Linked DNA regions of Tribolium castaneum. The protein of the gene in region 2 interacts with the protein of the main gene of each other region in a pairwise test. Links are inferred from orthologs where the notes say so. Each region holds a gene or a part of one and is shown on either strand. Other genes may lie near its edges. The genes, in order: Exo70 and Vps51.

What was found.
Region 1: the proteins of Vps51 (region 2) and Exo70 interact in a two-hybrid assay, tested with the Drosophila melanogaster proteins (2 studies listed by BioGRID). The link is inferred for Tribolium castaneum from reciprocal best matches to the Drosophila melanogaster genes Vps51 and Exo70.

The regions. Positions count from the first base shown.
Region 1 is NC_087399.1:7,152,397-7,156,222, reverse strand, and holds part of Exo70 (exocyst complex component 7), read right to left. Parts: intron 3,019-3,826; coding exon of another isoform or gene 2,995-3,018; intron 2,945-2,994; coding exon of another isoform or gene 2,720-2,944; exon of another isoform or gene 2,680-2,719; intron 2,624-2,679; exon of another isoform or gene 2,601-2,623; 5' UTR 1,053-2,600; coding exon 1,002-1,052; intron 957-1,001; coding exon 791-956; intron 718-790; coding exon 518-717; intron 466-517; coding exon 124-465; intron 1-123. Other genes in the region: stet (uncharacterized protein LOC657740), read left to right, coding at 2,720-2,944, 2,995-3,018. UniProt on the Drosophila melanogaster protein: Required for exocytosis. Thought to function in intracellular vesicle targeting and docking before SNARE complex formation.
Region 2 is NC_087395.1:17,182,982-17,187,246, reverse strand, and holds the start of Vps51 (vacuolar protein sorting-associated protein 51 homolog), read right to left. Parts: upstream 3,095-4,265; 5' UTR 2,990-3,094; coding exon 2,909-2,989; intron 2,863-2,908; coding exon 2,728-2,862; intron 2,684-2,727; coding exon 1,857-2,683; intron 1-1,856. Other genes in the region: Ttd14 (TRPL translocation defect protein 14), read left to right, coding at 3,589-3,646, 3,695-3,762, 3,821-3,858. UniProt on the Drosophila melanogaster protein: May act as a component of the GARP complex that is involved in retrograde transport from early and late endosomes to the trans-Golgi network (TGN).

The DNA.
Region 1 (3,826 bases), on a different chromosome or scaffold from region 2:
ATTCCGGATAAAATTTTTATATTTGAACGTACTTTGTGTCAATAACGATTAACCGATTATTTGATTAATCAACTGATTACTCGATTATCTTGCCCAGCCCTAGTACCAGCACAAGTTACCAACCAGCATTGGTGAACTGGCAACACCATGGACACTCCCACCGCTTACGCTCTTCTGGTGGTTGCGTAACATGGTCAAAGACCGCTGTAAAACAGCCCCACGCACTTTACCATAAACTGTTAAATATTCATCTCGGCCGTTGTCAAGTAGCCAATTTGCGATTTTAATCAAATAGGCTTTCGTATGGTCTGGAATTTGAACAGGTGGGAGCTTTTCGCGGTTGTCAGAATTCTCGTAATTGATCAAATCGAGGAGAACGACCGGAAGCATTGGAGTGTTGTATTTGTCCAAAATTGTTTTAAATTCGGAATTGAGTTTGTCGCTACCTTTATGAAATAAAGTGGTCTAAAAACCTGTTTTAAATTTTGTTGACCTAAAAAATGGGGGTTAGACGTACGACATTTTCGAGTTCCACGCTTTGGGGGATGTGTTTTTCGAAATATTTCTGGGCTTTCGCCAGGCGATTTAATGAGTGGATGTAGTCGTCTAAATCGATACCGCTCTCACCAGGTCCTTTCTCAATTGTGCTTTCAACGTCACTTGATACGTTGTAATAGCTTATAACATCGTCGAGATATGTGAGAGTTTGGTCGATATCTGGTTATTTGAGTCAAGGAAAATCAACTAAATTTGATATTTGAGACGAAAACTAGGGGCGTTTCAAGGATACTGACTTGTGATTTTTGTAAATTTTCGGTATCATTGTAGACCGGTAAAATAGTGTCTTCAAGCCGTGAAAGACGCTCCTCAAACGAATTGAGAATCGTATCAATGCCTTTCGTGATTTGAGAGCTTTTTTTCAGTCTTTCAGTCAGCAAAGATAGGTTAGATTTCTCCTACGGGCATAAGTTAGATTATGTCACGATTACCAAATCACTGACTTTCTCCAATTTGCTTGTAATCTCATAAGTGCGTTCCTCGATAATATTCATCTTGTTTAATCCCAATATTTTGGAGAATTATTTCCAAAATTGAAGACTTTACGAGCAAAACATTATTGACGTCTTTTGTTACTAAATCAACAAACTTGACAATTGGCAAATCCCTAAACTAGAGAATGCTACGGAGGACTATAAGTTAGGAGACGAAAGAAAATACGAAATCTCAAAATTATCTGAACCCAAAAAAATAGTCCGGTGGAGTAAAAATGAGGGCGCTTCAAACGTTATATTGTTTCGGCGCCAAATTTATTTAAACCCAACGAATTCACTATTACTTGAAAAAAAACGCGAAAATATTGAGCTTTGTACTCTTAATGGTCTAAAATTTTCATAAAAAAATACGAGAAAAAAAATTATTAAAATTTTACAATTTGCGTTTCGTCCCGTATTTTTCAAGACTTTGCGAATATAGTTAAAGATACAAGGAAATAATTTTGAAGAAATTTGTAGAGAAATAAATTTAATATAAAAAATTCGTGACGCCATATCTCTATCGTCAACAGTTTAGGTTCTAAAAACGTTCAAAAACGCTCAAGTAACGGAAACGTAATTTATACCTAAACTGTTCTTCAACAGTTTATCTTCATGTTTTTATCTTCATAAAAACATGGTGTCCCGGACTTTTTTGTAAAAAATTTAATTTTCTACAACTTTCTTTTTAACATTTTTCTTGCATCTGTAACTCTATTCACAGCGTTTTGAAAAATATGGGGTAGAGTGCAAATTGGTACAAGTTTTTTTAAATATAGTTTACGATAAAATTTTTGTATTATGTTTATGTCCTACTATGGAGAATTTAATATTCTATGTGCCTATATTTTTTTCTTTGCTATGTGTTAAACGGTATACAATTTTTTTTTCAAATTCATTGGTCTGAAAACATAGGACGGGAACGTTTTATTTTCTACATCTTTTCATATCCTAACCCTTAAATATTTGTACTCTAAATAAAGTGCTACTTTCGAAATTTTCTATACGTTTTTAACGTCCTTCGCGCATTTGGGTGGAAAACATAAAGTAATGTATAATTACTGCGAAAGCAAGATGATTATTTAAAAGAAAAACATTGTCAAACTTGACAAACAACAAATCCCTAAACGATTCGAAAAAATCTAATTCTCCCTTAAATTTAATGAAAAGAAACGGAATTTCTGATTATTTGGTCTAGACACGCACCCTCTGTGATTCACGCTTGTCGCCCGTCAAATGTTTCACCCTAACTTCGGCCAAAACCACCCCAATCTTCCCCCGGCCGACTAGATTTAAAATCAATGAAACCTTACGATTTTCTCGAGAGGGGATGAATTTTCACGATAGGGGAATTTCGAGTTGACGTTGGGGAAAAGTGGAAATTGCCGGAGTGCAGAACGTGTGGCGTGTTTTTGTTTTTTTTCAGTTTTTTTGAGACAGGTGTATGGTTTTTTAGTGCGAGGAAAACCTTTTCGTTGAGTTTTTCCGATTGTGAATGGTGCTGTGAGGAAAATTCGTCCATTTTTTCAGTTTTCGTACCACTTAATCGGCGACAAGGATCATTCACAGCTGTAACAACAACAATAACAGTAGTAAAATAAAAAACAATATGCAAAGACAATTTTTTGGCATAAATTGCAAATTTTAGTTAGCCGAGACGCAAACCGGTCCATGCAGTTACCGGTATTATGCTGTCGCACTCGGCGTGGCCTCATCGAGTGTCGCCCTCTACCACCCAAATCCTGCCAACAAATCTTACTCATGCCCAATCATCGGAATCCGGAATCGAACCCGGACACATAGCGACAATCACCGGATCTTTGGCCTCGTTTCCGGATCATTACGACACGGATCACACGGATCTGGCGAGCGAATCGGACGAGGCCGAACTCAAACGAACACTTTTACGAGACGTGAGCGCCCAAAAATGCAAAAAACACAAAATATATACTTTTTATTACAGCAATGGCGCCAGTTTTTCGACAAGGTACACACGGATGATCAAAAAATCCAACAAATAACTGTTTCTGATGAGTATGGAAAGTGCTTTTTTCGCTTTTAGCATCTTTTAATATCACAAGTGAACATGTTTTCTTATTTTTTTGATGTCTATTACGTGTCTTTTATGTAATTTTATCAAAAACTGGCCATCATGTCAAATCTCAGAAAAAAAAATATTCAAAACCGCCAAAATCTTTGAAAAATCAAAATTTTGAAAATCAAGTAAACCTAAAAAGAAAAACTTTTTAAATAAACGCCACAATATACAGGCTGTTTCGCTTAAACGGCATATTAAAAGTACTGAATGTTCTAATAATTATAAGTATCTGCAAATTGTGTAAAGCCGCGATATTTTCAACATGGCGGCACTTCCGGTTATACCGGAAGTCGGTATTAACTTTCTTATTTTGAATAAAAAGATATGTTTTTTACTGCGTTTCTAGATAAATCAAGTTATTTTAAAGGGATTTTCATGAGATTTCCCTAAATTTAGCCGATACACCAATCAAATTGGCTCAATTTGGTCACGTGATCAGTTAATCACGCATTTAATTGCGGATTAAATTAATGACGTTTATAAACCGATCCTTAGTCTTAAAAATAGTAAGCACATCATTAAGTGCTTTGAAATTGTGATCATTTTTTTATTTTTTTTTCGAAATTCCTTTGAGTTTTTGAGTTAAGTTAAAAAAATATGTTTTAATAAAATTTAAATATTTAGCATTTAATATTAAAATTATTTATTAAATATTTAATAAATTTAAATAAAGTTAATCTAGATATAATTTAATATA
Region 2 (4,265 bases):
ATGAAACTGATTCAGCTTAAAAGAGGAAGGTATGAACCTTAGTGCTTTAATATTTTTTGGAGAGTTACAGCTGAGATGATAAAAACATGAAGAACTCTCTTTTAAGTTTAAAAGTTTAAAGTTTTAAAAGTTTAAATAACTTAAAATTCTTAAAGGAAACGCCGTATTACTTATTTTTGCTCGTAAAATACTTTCAAATTGTCTTTCTAATAAATAACATAAACATTTAATAAGTGTTTACAAAAAAGATATTAAAAAAATCAACTATTATTTCTTATTACAGTAATTTTTTAAGTTCTTAATTGCACTATGTGTACAAGTAGTACAGCTTTAAGTTTGAACTTTCTTTAAAAATGTGAAAACCTGATTTCTGTAGTACGAGCCCTAATAACTAAATGTTTGGACGAAATCTTGTTTTATTTTTATTTAGTTTTATTTTATTTTTATTCATTTTATTTATTTATTATCAAACTGGTTTTATTACAACAATACTATTTATAATTTGTATGGATTCAAACTTATGAAATTCACTAAATACTAAATACTAAAGTGTTTTCTGAACTTTGTTATTAGAAAATAAGTTATTAGAAAAAAAAATTAAACGATGAAATTTTCCCACTTCGCTTGGCAATGTAAGGAGCTAAAAAATTTAACATATGACTATCCAGTTTTGTATTATTATTTGACCTTCAATTTCATGGGATTCTAAAAAAAATTATTACGTTCCCGAAGGTATGTTTATTTAAAAAAAAAGGTGCTTCTTGTCACACCACAAAACTTTTGAATTAATAATTTGGTAATTCTTACATTAATGTTATGCCTTGACCAGCTATTAGCCCTGATTTCAATATCATTGTGTCTTTTTGGCACAAAATGATAAGTTATCCTAGAAATCTTTCTTAGTGGTAATTGAAAGATTTAAAAAACAAAACAGAACATATTTGGAACAATAAAACGCCTGAATTCTGTTACAGATTCGTTAAAAATATGCCTTTTTAAATTTAAACATTCAGTAGCTTGACATGCATTTCCTTTACAAAAATGTATTCTTTCAAACATTTAGGGTCGGTTTATAGAAACGTCATTAAGTTAATCTGCAATTAAATGCGTGATTAACTGATCACGTGACCAAATTGAACAAATTTAATTGGTCCATTCGCGTTGTTAACTTTTAGCGACGAATTAACTTTTAACAAAGCTTTTTATAAACCGGCCCTTAGTTGTTAGGGCTCGTATTTTTACTTTTTGTGTAGTACTTTTCACAAAAAAAAATTAGATTACATTTCAAAAACTAAGCGGAATCTACAGTAAAAGTCTATAGAAAAATACCAATATTGAAAGCTACGTTCAGTAAAATAAAAAATATTTCATAAAAAAAATGTTTATATTGTACCTAATTGATTTCTCAAGACCGCTGTAGATTTGAAAATAATTTTAGGTAATGAAGTGATGTATTATACTAACTTATAAATGAACTTCCATAAAATTAATTAAATAGAAGTCATTTAAAATCACTTTGTAGTATTGTTTTGATTGGTTAAAAATTAAAATGACTAAAAACGAGTTTGTACTGTATTCAAAAACATAAAAAAATAGTTATTAATAATACGAGTGCGAAAACACAAGCTTAAATTTCGTTATGCAACGAGTGTATGCGAGTGTATACCTAGACACCCGAGAACTTTCAGCGTTTTCGTATAAATGTTATTAATTTTTTTTTGTTAAGACATTTTTATTCAAAACACGTTGCTATGGCAAACGTGTTTTAAAATAGTGTTTATAATCTAGAATTCAGATATTAAAAAGAAGACTTAAAATTACCAACAAAAAAATAATTAAAACGATTATCCACTTACGCCGAAAAATCCACATCCCTGCACAGTGTGTTACTTTCAATCCTTTTATAAAACCGGTCCAAGGCTTGAACTAAAACAGCCGTATCTCCAACATCCTGCTCCAAATCGACTTTATTTTGCACCAAATCGAAATACTTCGCCATGTTTTGTTTAACAAAGTTGTTGAGTTCAGTTGCAGCAAAATTTTCGAAAATATCACTATTTTCGATATTATCCAAATTGTTGCGATTGATAAACATGTCGTCAAAGGAAGCCACAACCAGACACAAATCGCTCAAAAATCCCGAACAACCCAAATCAATAAATTCGGAAATGTCCCGTTGCTCGCTTTGGTCCTTCAGCATGACTAGTTGGTCACTGAGACGTTTTTCGGCACAAATCAAAAATTCAGAACACAACTCTTTGGCCGGCTCGTTCAGTTGCAGGAGCAAATCCACACTTTCGGTCAGTTCCTTGGCCGAGGCTTGAGGGTTACTGAAGTGCTTCCTCAGTTCTTTTTTGAGCTCAATAAGGATGGTTTCACAGTCGGTTTTGATGCCTTGCAAGGATGGCAAGTTACCGTACTGTTCCAAGACACGCTGGGCGTGCAAATAGTCCTGAACCGCCTCAATGTATCGCTTTTCCTCCATTCGAGTTTTCAAGCTTGTTGGCAGTTTGAATAAAAACTGGAGGCGCTGCAAAAGCGTGTGCACCCCCGACAATTTACTAATTTGGCTCCTTGTGTCCTGAAGAGTCGAGTTAATTTGGTCGGAAAACGACGTAATTGACGACATGTTTGAGGCGAGGAGGTCCATTTCGTTTTCCATTTTTTTGAAATCGACTTTCATCTACGGCACTAATTCACTTTTCGGAAAGAAAAACGCACCAATACCTTTTTTATGGTGTCTGTAGCCGAAATAAATTTGTTATAATTTTCGTAAACTAGGGTTTGCATGTCGGAATGCAAGGTTTGTGTGTCTTTGACGATTTCGCTCTCGTGGTCCATTATTTGCTTCAAGTTGGACTCCTGCAAGAGGGTGTCAGTTCAAGGGTGAAAAAGGGGCTATTGTTACTTTGAATAATTTATCCAAATACATGTTGGGGTTGAAGCTGGGACTGTTCAGGTCCAAGGGGCTGGGCTTTTTCTCCGCCATTTTTGGGTTTTTGAACACTTAATTGAAAAAGAACTCAAAAAACATTTTTTGTATTGTTGTCACCAAAACGTCAAAACAGATGATCAGGTGTGCTAGTGGCAGAGTGTGCACAAGCTCGAAACAGTTCATAAATCAGTAAAAATTCTCATTTACAATAAAATTCGATACAAAGTGATTGATTATTATTGTGTTGGCGTTATTGTGCTTAGGATGCGTCGTTTTTTTGCGTAAATGGGCGAGGGATTCGAAGTTTGCGCCACGGGAACCACGTGTATTGATTCCAGTGTGGCCACCCCTCTGCGGCGAAACTCCCTCCCCAAAATGTAATTTTATCAGCGACGATGTTTATTTAAGACTCAAATTCGCTCACATTTCTTTAGTCCCGCGTCTGTGCGGTGTCGCGTGTCAGCCTTTGTCGCTTTCGCGAAATAACAAATCATGAAATCAATATACAGTAAAATTTGATCATGTACCCGGTTTATTTCTTTTAGTGCTTACAAATTTTGATTTTCATTCTTCACCTTTCACAACAAAATCACCTTCTCGAATACTAGCAAAATTCAATTGGAAAAACTAAGTTTCGTCAAAACACCGGAAATATGGATAAAACGACCAGTGGCAACGATAAAACCTGTTACAGAGTTGTCCTAACAGGAGGTAAGTCGACCATGTGATCCTCCACGAGATTATTTTGGGTTTGTACAGGACCATGTGGCGGAAAAACGACCGGTCAAGCCAGGCTGAGCACGTTTTTCGAAAATATGGGATGGAAGGTAACGCCAATTTTCACTTTTTATTACCAAAACGCAACCCAATTTATTGCTCCCACAGGTCTTCAGGGTACCGGAGACCGCCTCAGTTCTACTAAGGTAGGTGTCATCAGCGTTTTCCAATGTTTTATTGAGTCATATTCCCATATTTAGCCCAGAAAATAATAAAATTGTGTTTTGGCACCCGGCCTTTTACCACAAAAAGACCGTTTATAGTTTTTATACGGAGTGGTCCGAAATAACTGTTTCTGTTGGCAACTCTGTTACCAACCAATTTTGAATTTGTAAATTAATGCAAAATGCACAAGAAATAGGGGCCTAGTGGAGTCTGAAAGTCTGGTCGTAATTCTTGAATACCCAACTGTGTTTTGGATCTCTGCCCTGATCAGGGAGCACGTGGTTTTTAAATTTATCACTTGAGCTAAAATTAATGGCCTAATGGGTGGCCAACAATATCTCTAATCGTTTCATTATTTTTTAAGTTAATGAATTTAATCACAGTTAAT